2 linked regions of the Caenorhabditis elegans genome follow. The protein of the gene in region 1 interacts with the protein of each later gene in a pairwise test. Each region holds a gene or a part of one and is shown in the gene's direction. Other genes may lie near its edges.

Evidence for each region. The genes of interacting proteins can lie anywhere in the genome.
Region 2: the proteins of lsy-27 (region 1) and Y51H4A.8 interact in a two-hybrid assay, tested with the Caenorhabditis elegans proteins (one large-scale study listed by BioGRID).

What each region holds. Positions count from the first base shown.
Region 1 is NC_003283.11:17,345,865-17,353,185, reverse strand, and holds lsy-27 (Zinc finger protein lsy-27), read left to right. Parts: upstream 1-2,992; 5' UTR 2,993-3,124; coding exon 3,125-3,191; intron 3,192-3,614; coding exon 3,615-4,228; intron 4,229-4,284; coding exon 4,285-4,356; 3' UTR 4,357-4,521; downstream 4,522-7,321. Other genes in the region: fbxa-134 (DUF38 domain-containing protein), read left to right, coding at 316-329, 1,494-2,187, 2,560-2,799; skr-5 (Skp1-related protein), read right to left, coding at 4,624-4,755, 4,908-5,156, 5,208-5,264; fbxa-189 (F-box domain-containing protein), read right to left, coding at 5,477-5,668, 5,716-6,349, 6,396-6,479, 6,565-6,771, 6,819-6,926, 6,972-7,055. UniProt on the Caenorhabditis elegans protein: Involved in regulating left/right asymmetric differentiation of the gustatory ASE neurons. Plays a role in modulating expression of LIM/homeobox protein lim-6.
Region 2 is NC_003282.8:16,573,229-16,582,360, reverse strand, and holds Y51H4A.8 (DUF4136 domain-containing protein), read left to right. Parts: upstream 1-3,811; 5' UTR 3,812-3,845; coding exon 3,846-4,055; intron 4,056-4,151; exon of another isoform or gene 4,152-4,172; intron 4,173-4,358; exon of another isoform or gene 4,359-4,380; intron 4,381-4,603; exon of another isoform or gene 4,604-4,627; intron 4,628-4,850; exon of another isoform or gene 4,851-4,872; intron 4,873-4,973; exon of another isoform or gene 4,974-5,055; intron 5,056-6,588; exon of another isoform or gene 6,589-6,609; intron 6,610-6,732; exon of another isoform or gene 6,733-6,753; intron 6,754-6,862; coding exon 6,863-7,213; 3' UTR 7,214-7,267; downstream 7,268-9,132.

The sequences.
Region 1 (7,321 bases):
TTGATACTCTTGTCAGTCAAATGAAATTTCGGACTGAACGAAATTTAAGAATGAGAAATATAAACGCTGCTGTTTACGCAAAGAAGGTAAAAAACTGATACGAGTACGGCATGGCACGTACATAATCACTGTTGATAACTGAATTATGTTGGATGTAAATCAATGTATGACAATCGCATGTGCAAAATAGTTTTCTTATCATGGAAGCGCAGAAGACTAGAACAGTGGACACTTTGAAAGTGGAGTACTAAATTTGTTTTTGAAAGCTTACTTTATTTTTTTTGCACATAGTACGGAGAGAGTTCATATCAAAAGATGGCTAGTGAAATGTAAGTTGTTTACAGTTCACAGCGACCTAGAGCAAGAATCGCGAACAAAATAATTTTGAAAGTTCGCAATGGGGCGAACTTGCATTGTTCATTTTTTACCGTTGAAACTATCAATCAGTTGTTTTCTATGGACTATCTTTGCACGGGGTTCTGGCTCGACCCCTCGGTGTATTTTGTGCAAACACCGTCACGCGCAAATGCATACACTTTTTCAACGCGCTGCGTGAAAATTCCTCTTGCGATTTCAAAAAAAATTTCCCGCCATTTCAGTGTCCAATGGAGCGCGGGGTCGAGTCAGAACCTCGTGTCTTTGAAAGAAAAAGAAATTTAACTTCGTTTTGCAGGCAATTTTGGAATGATAAATATTTAAAATATCAATTTAAAAAATAATTTTGAAAATCCGGCCAGTATTGACGGAGCCTTAGGCATTTTCCCAAAAAATGAAGAAAGTCTTGATGTAAATATTCACCAAAATCTTGAATTTTAGTTTTTAAAAAAACAAGCTGTGAGGAGTGTGCGGTTTCTGATAATAACGTTTAAAGTAGTTTATTAAATATTCTGAGAAAATTTATTGATTACTTCAAGCATAATGGTCTAAAACAGGCACAAATTTGAAAAACCCTACTTTCGTTTTTATTTTCAATTATTTCTCATTTTCAGTACTGTACAATCTAAAAATTCAATTTTCATAGCAAAAGGACAAAAATAACAGCAATTGGACACATTTTGAGAAAAATTTAGTAGGATAAACATTGAAATAGAGCAATATTTTTCTGTGAAATCTAAAAATTACCATGATTTGAAAGTATTATGATGCATTTTACAAAATAGAAGATCCATAATGTTTGTTTTATTTCCGATAAACACCCTGCCATCAGTTTTTTGTTGTTTACTAGGAAAAAAGCGAAATATGCGTTCTTTGTATTTTTTGAACTGAAAATTACAACGATATATTTAATAAATCTACTGGAATGTGTTTTTCTGATAAATATTTCCTTATTCACCCAAAATTATCGATGAAAAACAGGAAATAAACACTGTCAAAGTTTCACTTTTGATGCAGAATGCAAGCGCGCCCCACTGCACACTTCAGATTCTCATTGGCTGAAAATTCGTGCGCTAGGTCGCTGTGCAGTTTTACTTATAACTTCTGCAAGTATACAGACCGTCTTCACAACTATCGCAAATATTATCTGCCATACTATCCAAACTACAAACCGCCAGAGATGTATCTCTACTCATTAAAATAGAACAAAATGAAATTAAAATTTCCTTCTATGCAAAAGCCACTGGCATAACTTTTGCTGAACTAATCAGTAGAGGAACTCCAAATGGATGCTTCATCAAGTGGGATGATATTGAGGAACTTGCAGATGGCCGGGAGTTTTTTGAGACTTCAGTAGCTCATTTGGAAATTATACTAGAGTCTTGGCCGCAGCGTATCTCGGTTTTATCAATATACTCGGGCCAGGGCGCCGAGGAAATAAAGGAGAACATTCTGAGAACTCATGAGCTATTCCTTTACAACTTTGGAGAAATGCTCAAATCACGAAAGTTTCTTCTGAAAGTAGCAGCTTTTGATGTAATACTATGGAAGGAACCATTGAACAATCACCTGTCAACTATCATGTCATGCCTTGACCCGAGATTCCTGGTAACTATAGTCCTGAGCTCTTCAGATGAAGGAGCTAGAGTCGATTGTGAGCAATTGGTAAACATGGAGCAATGGAAAAGTGCAAGACGAATAAAAATGGATGGCATTGAAGTGACAATGTCGATTCGGGATTTTTTGCGCTTTGATGAAGCGATAACGACACTACATACAATTACTAGTGACGACCTGGTTCTGTTGAAAGATGTAAGTTTCTGTGTCTGCCGGCTCTTAAGTGCGACGTTTTTATCCAAAACAGTCTTGAAATCCCTATAGGTTCAATGATACTTATGTGGGTGCGAGTCATCTTACACAGCGTCCGACGTTTTCAGAGTTTAGCGACTCCACAGAGATCTTAATTTATAAGAGTAAAAGTTCATATCATTGAAGCCTGCGCAAGTATCCATAGGACCCAATTGAACCCAAATTCTGATCAGATATTCAACAAGACAAAGGTTAAAGCCAAAACCGAGTAACATTTTTTTTTTGGAATAAATCTAGTACCGGGCCCGAAGTTTAGCCCATTAGAAACACATCAGAATCCCCACAAGACCAATTCTATCTCCCTACCTTTTTCAGCACTTCATACACAACCAAAATCCAAAGTCTCTCACATTGAATTTTCAAAACTTTGTCAGTTCAGACCAAAACAATGAAGATCAGGCTCATGAGGTATTGGGAACTTGCGATGAGATCAAGTATGTGAACGGCAAGCTGAGTAGCAAAAAATGGCGGTTTCTAATTGAAAGATCTCATTTCTCTATTGAATATTTTCAGATTGAATTTAAAAATTCCCAGTTTAAATTTTCTCGGTTATGATTATGACTATCAAATTTGAATAAAAATGTTTTAAAAATACACCGTTATTTTGTTATTTTTCTCTGGCGTTACTTGGTAGATCATTTTCTGCATTTGACCTCCCAACTTCCCACAGCATTGCCTCCTCAATTCGTGAGATCAATGACTCTTCTTTCTGAATTTGACCTACTCTCCCCCCGCAACATTACTTCTTCCCCTCTCCCCTTCTCCACAACGCGAACAACACATCCCGCGTTATCGATTAGTTTGGTGCAGCGTTTGCCTGTCCTTTTACAGCTAACCAGTCAGTTAGTTAGTCATTCGACAAATCTACTCTCATCTAAACATGACGTCTATTCACAGTCCAGTCACCCGCAAGGAGGACACCGAGCTCAAGAGACCAGATCTCAGAGGTTAGTTTTTAAAAAATTATTTTTTGTAACTTTTTTTGCAAATGCGCAAAACTGGCTTGTTTCAACAACTTTTTAAATCGAAAATTAATGTATAAATGTAGAAAACGGGTTGTTCTATCAGAAAATATTTTTTATTTTTGTTAAAAAGCTTGAAAAAGTTCTCAAATAGTGCCTGAAACTAGCCGTTTACCAAAAAAACGTTTCACGGCGCCCTTTCGGGAAACTGCAACTTTCAAGCACTATTAAAGGTCTTTTTCGCATTTTGCAACAAACAAGAAATTTATTTTCAGATAGAAAACCCAATATTAGATCACAAAAATTGGATTATCATGTTGAAATGAGCCGGTTTTGCTCATTTTCCAACAAAAAAAATGCCGCACAGCCTTGCCTTGTATTGGAAGCTGCAATTAATCTATATTCCAGGCAAATTCGTCTGCTCCTCCTGCTCCCAAAACTTCCAACACAGTGCCTCCCTGAACCGTCATCGTCAGCTGATGCACAGCAACGAGCACACTTGTATGATGTGCGAGCGGGCTCTTAACCAAAAAGAGACTATCCGTGAGCACATGAGAAATGAGCACAACCTGGCTCAAGTGTTCACTTGTGGCTGTTGCAATTGGACTTTCGCCAGCAAGAGACAACTCACGGAGCACACAAAGTGCATTCAGGGAACTGGAGCTCCAGGAGACACCATTCCAATCGCCAAGTCCATTAATGCACCAGGATCACTTATTCAGTCGACAATCCAAGGAACTCCACCAGTGGTGAAAACCGGTCGCAAACGTCCCATGGGAGGTTCGTTGTCGCCGTCATCTTCCGTCTCCACATCCATCTCTTCCCGTGATGCCTCCGGATCGCCTCCACCAACTGAAGAAGAAGCCGAGCGCAAGGTGCTCTTTGACAACGCAGTCGACACTATTCTACAGAGCAAGTTCTTCACTTATCAGCAGATCACTGAAGTCGACACTTGGGTCAAAATCATCGAAAGTGCTAATACTCTTGCTGACACACTCCAACGCATCAAGAAATCACAGAAGGTAAGCAGTAGAGTAATCCGTGGATAAAAATAAAATTTAAATCAATAATTTTTCAGGTCAAAGCAGAAGGGCCAGCCGTCGAGAGCAAGATGATTCCAGAGAAGCACGTCAAGCAGGAAATTGAGTAACTATTTTATTTCCTATTTTAACTCCCTATTCAACTGATGTTCAGTTTTATCATTTTGTTTCATAGCAATATTGAGTGTCTTCACAGTATTGTTAATTCTACCTCACTTTCTTCAATTTTTCATTTTTAACGATTCATTTTTTTTCAATACACGATTGTTTTATAATAGGCAGATTTCGAAAAACTGTTCGTTAGAAAAAAGATAACAGAGGAAAACATTTAAAAAAATGCTACTTTTAACATTGACGGGGCAAATTTGGTCTTGAAGTTATTCCATATTAGTTTCGTTACCCAAGTTGAAAACGGCACGAATTTCTTCAGGAGATTTTCCTTTAATAGAGTTGGCAATACTTTTACAAGTAACATTAAAAAGACCTTTGATATCCAAATAAGTGGCTGCCTGAAAGAAGGTGACGATTACAGAAATGCATTTTATGGGGTTATTCAAATAGGCTGGGAAAATTTTAAAAAAATGTATAAATTATGTAACAACTGTATTCACATAAATTTTGCAACATTACTTGAATAACCCCTTGAAAGTTGACTACTTACCAGCACCAATTCGAACAAAGTACCTTTGTCAACTTTAAGAAACTCGACATCCCATTCACCAATATCGTCCGTTCGCTTTTCTTCCACATTGTCTGGCGGTTTGGGGATATCTTCAGCATGATACTCACACCATTCGATAACTTTCTTGAAAATCTCAGAGGTGACATTTTTCAATGGAATTGGTTCGCGCTGATTCAATACAACAAAATCAGCGAGAAGCTTGGATTGATTGGCAATTTTCGGAGAAACCTGACGCAAAAAATTAAATCTCTGTACTAATAGTAAGTCAATAAAACCTACAATGAACTCTACATCATCAGAAGTAACAATTTTGACATCTTGCTCTTCGCTGCTCATCGTTAGTTGTTGATTGAAAAAAAAACTGAATGAAAAGAGGGTTACAGGCCTTTTTATGAGACCAGCAGGGTCTTATCAATTTTGATGTACGTGACTAATACTCTTCCACAACCATCTTAAATCAATTTTACGACAACAAATTTCATAACCGCCCAACAAATTTATTATGGAACCATGCTTAAATTGAGAAAAAAGTTTTCGAATAGATATATTCAAGAAATTCTAATAGTTTCAAAGTTCATTGTATCAAATTGAATTCTGAACTCCGACTCCTCATTCCTGTATGTAATCGAACCAGACGATCCTCCTGAATAATTCTGCTCAAACACGTTCAAAATGTCTATAGGATCATAATTGAACATTCGGAAGCATCCATGTTCAAAATCACTGGACTTCAGCAGTTTCTATAATAATTCTTTGAATAAAAATGCTATAGTTGATATTTGCTCACCTCTCGGATCAATATTGCATCTGACTTTGATAGAGATTTCAGGGAAACATCAAATCTCGAGAAGTGAAACAAATTCTCAATTGGAATCGTCATAATACAGTTCCGACTGCTTTCAAAATTTTTTGCCTCTTTCCATTGTCTCATATCAACCAACTTCTCAATATCGGCGTTATCAGTTGGCGAGCCCAGCACAATCTCTTGCAGTATTCCTGATTTAAAATTCCGAAGTATCTTAGCAACTTCACTGAATGAAAATCCCTCTAGTGTGATCTTCTCTATGTATGAACAGTTTGAATTTCTCAAAACCGTGTTCATAGTTTTATAGATTTTCTGATGGTCGCTCTTTTCGACTGATATGAATAATTGGAACACTTTCAGCTTAAGCTTTTTATTTTTCATGACCACGGACCAATCATTCAAAGCTGTTATTGCATAGTTTCCACTTTTCACAAGCTTTTCTTGATCATCATATAACACGTTACAGTTGTCCTTCCTGTCCAGATAGATTATTTCGTTTTCATCAAATTGCAAAATTGATTTTGTATTGTAGATTTTCAGACTAATTTTCTCAACGTCAATGCTCAGGTTGTCCATGAAGTGGCGAAGATTTTTAGAGACTTTTCGCATCACTAGTCTGAAAAGTTTTTTTTGATAAATTTACACATTGATATCAAGCACACTTTTCTTTTAATCCCAGTTTGTTCATTATTTCCCCAGCTATGTCTTTAGGCATTGTGGACAGTGATCGGATCTCTTTACCAAAACTGAAATATGAAAAATTAGCATATAGCGAGCACTGTGAAATTAACTATAGCTTCCTAATGTATATAATTCAAAAGTAAAACTTACTCAATGTCAGATTCCATACTGGAATCCCCTGCTTCAATCTTCTGATACCAATGTTCAAACTCCCAGTACTTGACTACATTTTTTCCAACAGTATCACATAGTTTCTCATAAGCCTCAAAAGTTGAATTTCCCTGTAAGCATTCAAACAAAATATATCCACGCAGCACTTTTTTGTCAATATCGGCTTGTTTGACAGGTTCGGCTTCTCTGAAAAATGTTCGAGAAATTTGTAAATATGGAAACGTTGTTCCTACACGGGCTCTATTCCAACTTGCAGTTCTTGGATAAGCTCTTTAAGCTGATTGTAGACAGGAAAATACTCATATTCTTCTTGGTAGCGGTCCGAAGGTCCGGGAGAAATTCTGAGTTTGAAGTTTAAGGTTATGTAGTATCAGATTTCAGTTTACGTGGGTTCGGAGTTGAGCTCTCTTAAAATGTTTCTCATAATGTCCTTGTGCATTTCTGCCAAAGAACGAGGTTCAAGTTCCGAGCTGAAACATGAAATTTTCACAATATTGATCTCAACATCCCCCGGTGCTAAACCGTTTTTTTTTTGCTTTTCATTCCTAACTTCATCTATTTATTATCCTACCTTTTGGTATATTCCTTCCCACTTGCTTTCTTATCCATTTCATACTCTTTACTCATTTATTATATTTAACTAAATTACTTTTGTTGTATTATTACCATGCTGGTTTTTTTTATTTTTGAAGTTAAATAAATAAAAAAATTAAATTCAAATTTGAATATTGTTACT
Region 2 (9,132 bases), on another chromosome or scaffold:
CTTTCTGGGGGTCGAAAAATTTTGGATCTCCCCAAAACGCATATTTTTTCAAAAATTTGGCATTTTACCAAAACTTTGACTGGAAGTTCTGAAAAAATTGAATTTTTTCAGAGTTTTTTAAAATGATTTCTTCACTGGCGCTACTGCAACTTTAATCACTTTTTTTTTCATTTTCCGACCAAAAAAAAATTGGAATGCAACTTTTATTTGGTTAATTGTGTGTTTTTCGTGTTATTAACTTTTTAAAAATTAATTAATTACGTTGAAAATTGGTGATTAAATTTGTCGAGAAATTCACTGTTTGACCGCGTGTGTATAAAAATTTTCTTCCGATTTCGTCAATGATCTTTTTGCATACATTAGCAACATATAAAAATTAATTTGAAAGCTTCCTTTAAAAATAAAATTGATAATAGGCTCCGCCTTTTTCTGGGCTTTCTTTGTTTTTGAAGTTTTCCAATCGAATGTTCTGTGAAAAAATCTTTTCAAACAAATTTTTGTAACGGTTGTTTGGCAATATTTCGATCTTTTGATTTTTGGATGTACCCTTTATCTTTTGTTGATAATATTTTGTATCATGAGTAGAAACAAAACCAGGAAATTAATATCTGGCATAATTATTAGGTCGTTCAATAAGTTTTTTCGTTTTTTTCTAGTTTTGGTTTTTTCTTGGATATTATTTTGCGGTTGTACAGAAGACTGTTAGTAATGACAAGCCCAACAATATCAGCCATATCGGTCAACTTCCAGATTATTTAAAACTCAGAACTATGATGACGAAAAAAAAAAATTTTTTTTCGAATTTTTTCATTTCTTTGTGAAATCAAATACTTTGTATGCGTAGAGGTATAAGACAGTTAGTTAAACAAAACTGAAAAATTTCAGACTCAGGCATAGCTTATTGGTAGCGCTACATCTGTTTAAAGTGCCTAAAACGCTTGCAAAATTGACTTTTTTATGTTTAAGCAGTGCTAACTTTTAAACCATGAGAGATATACAAAAGTAATGTATTACAACATTAATGTACACATCATCAGCTACATTTTATCAGTATGTTACATTGTTGTCCCTCCTCACGTTTCTGAGTTACAGTTGATAGAAGTGAGCTTGGTCCAATTTTCAAAAAACCCTAATTTTCACGTTTTCGCCTGTAACTCCGAAATCAGGCGTCTAATTAAAAACTTCAAATTAAAAATTAAGTGATTTTAAATTATAATCGGGTTCACAGTTGACCGTTTTGTCATATCTCATATGTGGGCAAAGATATGAATTGTCAAAGAAAAGTTGCGGAAATTTTAGAAAATTTTCAAAAAAAAACATCGAAAAAAAATCCAACAGTTTTTTTTACAAGATAACCTCTAACTGTTTTTTGATTATGATAGCCTAATTAGTAATCAAAATATTAAATGTGTTTTTAAACGCTCATGTTCTTTTCGGAAAGAGTAAAACAGTTTTTTGCAATATTTTTCTATATTTTTTCGATCATGCATTTTTTGTTTGTTGACCGTTCATATCTTTGCCCACATATGATATGACAAAACGGTCAACTGTGTACCTGATTATAATTTAAAATCACTTTATTTTTAATTTGAAGTTTTTTAATCAGGCACCTGATTTCGGAGTTACAGGCGAAAACGTGAAAAATTAGGGTTTTTTGAAAATTGGACCAAGCTCATTTCTATCGACTGTAACTCAGAAACGTGAGGAGGGACAACAATGTAACATACTGATAAAATGTAGCTGATGATGTGTACATTAATGCTGTGATACATTACTTTTGTATATCTCTCATGGTTTAAAAGTTAGCACCGCTCAAACATGAAAAAGTCAATTTTGCAAGCGTTTTCGACACTTCCAACAGATGTAGCGCTACCAATAAGCTATGCCTGGTTCTGAAATGTTTTAGTTTTGTTTAACTAACTGTCTTATACCTCTACGCATACAAAGTTTTTGATTTCACAAAGAAATGAAAAAATTCGAAAAAAAATTTTTTTTTCGTCATCATAGTTCTGAGTTTTAAATAATCTGGAAGTTGACCGATATGGCTGATATTGTTGGGCTTGTTATTACTAACAGTCTTCTATACAACCGCAAAATATTATCCAAGAAAAAACCAAAACTAGAAAAAAACGAAAAAACTTATTGAACGACCTAATAATCAAATTTGGGCAAAATCTCTTAAGTTGGAGTAGTGACCGCACCGAACATTAACCTATTGCGTTAAATCGATTTATCAGTTATTTGAAATTGTTTTAAATAAAAAATATTTTTAAATCGTGTCCATTCAGATTATTTGCAGTTGCCTATATCAGCATAGTGACACAGTCAGAAATTTTTTGTGTTAACACAATGTAGCGAGAATGGTTGTAAGGCAAATATAATCATGATTTGTACTATGGAATACAACAATTCTACAGAAAAATTGTACTTATAAAAATTATGTTTCACAATATTTATATTGCGTCACTGATATTTTAGTTATTATTTCAGAACTTTTTCATGAGAAAGATCTTAAAATTTCAATGATATGATTCAAAACAATTAATTTAAAACATTAAATTCAAAAAAAGTAAAACTATTCAAAACTTTTTTTGAAAATGTTGTTTATTTTATTTCAAAAATGGCAACCATTCTGTTAGGCACTTATTTGGAAATCGTTGAAAAAAAAATGTTTTCCTCCGAATTTTATGTTTCAAACGGTAATATTCAATTATTTTAGGGATAGTTTTCTTTAAAAGTGGCAAAAACTTAATAATTGGCGCTTTTCGGAAAAAAAAAATTTTCTAAAATTTTTATTGTTTCAACATGCTTTTATTATACTCTTTGTAAATTGGGTTTTATTCATACGCTCAAATTGTATTTTGGTAATTAAAAAAATTGAAACGTAACCAGGAAATTAATATCTGCCAGAAGTAGTCAAATGTAAGCAAAACCTCTTAAGTTGGAATAGTGACTATGGTGGTTTTTACAGAAAACTGTCTTGTTATAGGAAAAAAATCTAATAGTAACACAATGGTTTAAAAGAAAGCATCTACATTTTTTTAAAGGTAAAACTTTTTGAAAAAAAATTGGATTTTTAAAAATTCACTGTAAAAAGTGACTATTACTCAAATTTTGCCACTCATAATTTTATAAGTCGATCAAAAAAAAACTTCCTACAATTTTTTTTGCCAAAACTTTGACTGGAAGTTGTAAAAAATTTGAGTTTTTTGGAGTGTTTTTTTAAATGATATCCCCACTGGCGCTACTCCTCCATCAATGACTTTAAAAATTGATAAGAAATCGAAAAATCTGAATTTCGAAATTTACCGTTTCACCGCGTGCGTATAAAACTTTTCATCACATTTTGATCTATTTCTGATAGTGATCCGCTTTCAAACGTGTAAAACAATTTAAAATTAAACCAGAAGCTTCCGATAAAAGTATAATCAATAATAGGCTCCACCTATTTTTGGATTTTCATTGTATTTAAAGTTTTCAAATCGAATCCAGGAACAAAATCTTCAAAATTTGCAACAAAAAAAAAATTCAGTTTCAGCCTTCAAACAAATTTTAGTAACGGCTGTTTGACAATTTTTCGATCTTTGGGTTTCAAATTTTTACGAGTTCCCTTTTACCCCCGCTTAGTATGCTTTACCTATTCTTACTGTTGGCACACCCACCCACAAGAAAAAGTGTTAACAATCAGTAATAAAATGATGCCATAACTATGACAAATATAAACATTTTTGGCAAATCGAAACAAACATAAGCTATTGTGGGGCAAAGGTTAAGGAAACGGTATAAAAAAGGATTGAGGTAAGGTTTAAACTTCACTTTTAACTTTTGTGATTTGAACCTTCAAAATGCTTAAAATTCTACTGCTCCTCTGCTTTTTCATCTCCACAGCCGGAGCCTGTGCTCCGGGTACCGGAACGCTGGGCTCCAAGGGAACATTCAGCTATGAAATGAACCCTCCTGCTCTATACACCTATGATTCTCTAGCAGAATTTGAAAACGGACAGTTTGATCAAGCCTATGCTCAGCGAGTTGTGGTGTCGGATGTGCAGAGTGCGGTGAGTTAAATGCAATTTTAAATAAAAATCCCAATACAGAAAAAATTTCTACTGTTTCACAAAATTTTTATGAACAGCTACAGTTTTCTTTGGAGTTCGTATAATTGCATTTATTAAAAGTCCAATTATTAAATGTCCAACTATGGTGGTGGATAATTTTGCCAAATTTATAAAAGAATGTGAAATGGCAACACATCGCATAATGTTTAACGGTTGCATTATTATTTGAAAAAAATTTGAAATTCTCAGAAGCTTTATAAATTCTAGTCTAGTTTTGATGAAAAGCCATATATTTTCTTAATTTCCATCAAGCCAGCCTATTCAATAAAAAGCGATTCATAAAAAGTTTAATGAAATACTTTTGAAACATTAAAAATTTTATTGAAATTTTCTTTTTTTTTTCGAAAAGTGCCAATTACTACGTTTTTGCCACTTTTAAAGAAAAGTATAGCATATTCCAATCTCTACAATAATTGAAAAAAAACCCATAAGTGGGCCATAAAATTCGGAGGCAATTTTTTTTTTGACGAAAACAATAATAATAACTTTTTAGGCACCGTAGAGTTGAAACACTCCCTAGTAAGATAACAGTGAGCTAATAAGAATATTATAAAACATACTTTTTTACAAATAAAATTTTTACGTTTTATTGAAAATTTATTTTGTAGAAACATGTTATATTCTATAGTACAAATGCATGATTATATTACAATCTTTCTATTTTCATTGTGTTAACACAAAAAATTCTCACTGTTTCACTATACTGATATAGCCAATTGCAAATAATCGAAATAATTCTGTTCTCTCCTAGAAACTGATAAATCACTCAAAAGCGACATACTAGGTGCGCGGTCAATGAGTTAAAAAATTTATTTAAAAGCCTGTAGATTTAATTCGGAATATTTTCCAAAAAGTATTCGCTGCGAGCAGGATTTGAACCTACGCGGGCAATGCCCATTGGATTTCAAGTCCAACTCCTTAACCGCTCGGACATCGCAGCCCGGTTTCGGAGAGCTGGTTGGGGTGTTTTCGTTACCGCAAATGGCTGTGTTGTTCGCACATTTTGAGCGGAGAAATGACTGAAAAAAGTATGCTGAAAGAGAAGAGCCTAGAGATGTGTCTACCTACCACTAAATCTATTTTGTTATCACTTTTGAATTATTTTTTTTAGAGATAACAATCTGAAACATTAATTTTTGAAATAAACCACAAAGTATCAGGTTGTCCCATAAGTTTTTGTACTTTTTTTCAAATATTTTTCCAAAACTTCTAGAAAGTTTTAAAATTTTTTCATCGTAGGTCGTGTCAAGGTCGGGTCGTCCCCTTCCAGAAAAGATTCATTTCATCCATTTCTACTTTGCCACGATGACAATCATCAAACTTGAACGTCGAGACGTTAGATTGCTTCTTCTTTATGAATTTCGTCTTGGTCATTCAGCAATGAAAGCGGAACGAAACATATGCGGTGCGATGGGTGAGGGAGCACTCTCTTATAATACAGCAAAGAGTTGGTTTCAAAAGTTCAAGAACGGCGACTTCAGTCTCGAAGAAATAGAACGTTCTGGGCGACCGGTAGAGTTAAATGAAGAAGACCTAGTGAAGCTGGTGGAGGAAGAGCCTCGTCTTAGTCTTCGTGAAATGGAAGAGAAGCTTGAGTGTTGTCATAGCACAATTGCACGTCACTTGGGTCGCCTTGGTTTTACTTCAAAACTTGGAATTTGGGTGCCTCATGAACTTTCGGCATCACAGAAGCTCACTCGGGTCAACGTTTGTACTCAACTTCTAACTTTTCGTCGAAAGTTCGATTGGCTGAACAATCTGGTTACTGGAGATGAGAAGTGGGTGCTCTATGTTAACCATTCCAGAAAACGTCAATGGCTTCCGATCGGTGAGAAAGGAATACCGACGCCAAAGCCTGATCTTCACCCAAAAAAGATAATGATCTGTGTCTGGTGGGGTGTTCAAGGACCCGTGCACTGGGAATTGTTGCCAACTAATAAAACTATCACTGCTGATTACTATTGTGCCCAATTGGACCGAGTTGCAGAAAAGACCAACGGAAAATATGAAAAACTATATTTTCTTCACGATAATGCTATGCCTCATGTCGCCAAGAAGACTTTCCAAAAGCTGCAAGATCTTGGTTGGACTGTTTTACCGCATCCACCATATTCTCCAGATCTTGCACCAACCGACTACCATTTGTTCTTGTCTCTCAGTGACTACATGCGCGACAAGCAATTCGACGACGAAGAGCATCTCAAAACTGAACTCTCCACTTTCTTCTCATCGCGTTCGCCGGATTTCTTCTCCCGTGGCATCATGATGTTACCTAGTAAATGGCAACAAGTGGTGGACACTAATGGTGAATACTTGTGTGAATAGTACTACTTGTCGCTTGAGAGAAATAAATTTTTTTCAAAAAAAAAAATAGTACAAAAACTTATGGGACAACCTGATATTTATACCCATTATCAATAAAAAAAAACTGTTTCAAATATTTCATTTTTCAGGTTGTATAAAATTAATTCGTTTGTCGATCTTTTGAATTCTTTTTTAAAGATAAATAAGTCTGAAACATTAAGTTTCAAAATAAGCCACAAAGTATTTATACCCATTATCAAAAAAAAACTGTTTCAAATATTTCATTTACCAGATTATATTTCGGAGAGCTTGCTAAAATTTGTCCATACGAACCAAAAAAAATTATCTGCTCAAAACTTGTATAATAATGGAACCAAGTAGAGCGCTAAAACACTAAAAACACTATACAATACCAAAAAAGTTTAAAAATTCAAAAAATTCAGATCAACGACGTATTGCAAGCCAACAGTATCCCCCTAAACGACATAAACCCACCAGTCATCACATTCTCGCCTCCAAACGTCACACTTACTACAGTAACCGAGTGCACCGCCGACACCGCGGGTTACGGTGTTCTACAACAATCCACAGTCTACTATAAGTGTGCAGCGAAGGCTGGAACCGATGGAAAATACGCGAAAAGTCCGTTTGTTGTCCCTTTGACCGTTCAAGTGACCGCGATTTCTGCAATTTATGAGAGCCAGTGGAAGATGTTGGCTTCTCAGATGGCGGACAAGTTGACGACGAAGAGAGGAGCACAGTTTTATACAGATCCTATTGTTACTGTTGGTTAATTGGTTTTTTTTCTTTTTGTGGATTTGAAATAAAATTATATTAACAGCGAGAATTTTTTACATGTATTGAAGTTTGAACATGGGATTTGATCTGGCCGTACAGAATAGAATACGGAAAAAGTTGAAAATACTTTAACGTTATTTGAAACAGGGAAACATAAAGTTTTTATGGGCGTTGAAAGCGAAAAATTAAAAGTTGATCTGATTTTGAGAATTCAAATTTTTGACTGTTTCATTAACATCACTTAAGATGTGCATTATTTTGATTCAGTATTGAATGATATGCCAGATCACTGCAACTTTTTTCGAACGAGGGCCGAGAAAAAATGCGAAAAATCGGTGTTTGCACACAATACACCGCATTTTACGACATTTTGTACTTGCTTTGTTTTCTTGTGTTTTTCACCGATTTTTCCCGTGTTTTCTTATTAAAACTGATAAATAAATATTTTTGTTAATGCTAAAATAATTTCCAGATGAAAAAAATTGTGAATTCAGTCGGCAAGTAGCGGTAAAAGTGGTCAATGTAATATGATGGATTACGGGAATAAAAAACCCAAACTTTTTCCCAAACATGATACATATGATGTTTAGATGCTGAAAGTACCTGATTATCATAACGAGACCGCTGAAAAAGTTTTGAGATTTTCAAAATTCAACTTTTTTTGTGAAAATCTCTACACCAAAAAAGTTGAATTTTGAAAACCTCAAAACTTTTTCAGCGGTCTCGTTATGAAAATCAGGTACTTTTAGCATCTAAACAGCATATGTATCATGTTTGGGAAAAAGTTTGGGTTTTTTATTCCCGTAATCCATCATATTACATTGACCATTTTTACCGCTACTTGCCGACTGAATTCACAATTTTTTCACTTGAAAATTGGTTTAGCATCTGCAAAAAATATTTATTTATTAGTTTTGATAAGAAAAAACGGGAAAAATCGGTGAAAAACGAAAGAAAACACGCAGAAAACAAAGCAAGATAAATGGCCGCTGAAATTTGTCAGGGACTCGGCCATAGCCTAGAAACCTTTTTGCCTCGTCCCTCGTTCGAAAAAAGTTGCAGTGCAGATTTCATATTTATAAAAATAAGAGCGGATGTGTTTGGCAATGGTCTGTAATGTAATCTGTAATGTTAGACAATATGGTTTAACAGGAATTTATTTTTGAGAAAAAATAGGTATTGCGTCTTATATGCACGCAAGTTTTCAAAAGATTATTTTGTTTATTTTTTTGTCTGGGAAGTTATAACTTTACAGTAAGATAATACATGAATTCCAACCACATTTTTGCAAATATGCTTAGTTCCGGAAACACGACATTTATTTTTTAAAAATATAAGGAAAATTCAATCACTAATTTTTTATCTTCTCAAGATTTAGCCAAAATAAACTTTACTGTTGCATTATCAACATTTTAAGAGTTTCACGATGTTAGTTCATTTTTCTCATCATTGGAAAGGTAAAAACATTAGTTTTCAGCCAAAAAAAACAAAAAATATATTCAGGCCTTGGCTGAACGTGGCTTAAAAATTTAGATTTTAATCTAAAAAAAACATCTGGATTCCGTCCCAGAATATATAATTAAAGGTTAAATCGATTTAATTGTTTATGAAAATAAGAGCTGCTATGTTCTGTAATGGAGCGAAATATGGTTTTACAGGGATTTATTAGCTGAAAATATATAAGGAGCACGTCATTAATTAATAAATGCCAACCCCATTTTTGCAAATATGCATAGTTCCGGAAACATGTCATTTATTTTTTTCAAAAATATAAGGAAAATTCAATCACTAATGTTTTATCTTCTCAAGATTTAGCCAGTGATTCGCAGTTGATCATTTATAAAAATTTTTTTACTGTTTCATTATCAACATTTTAAGAATTTCACGATCAGTTCCATTGCTTCCGTTCCATTGC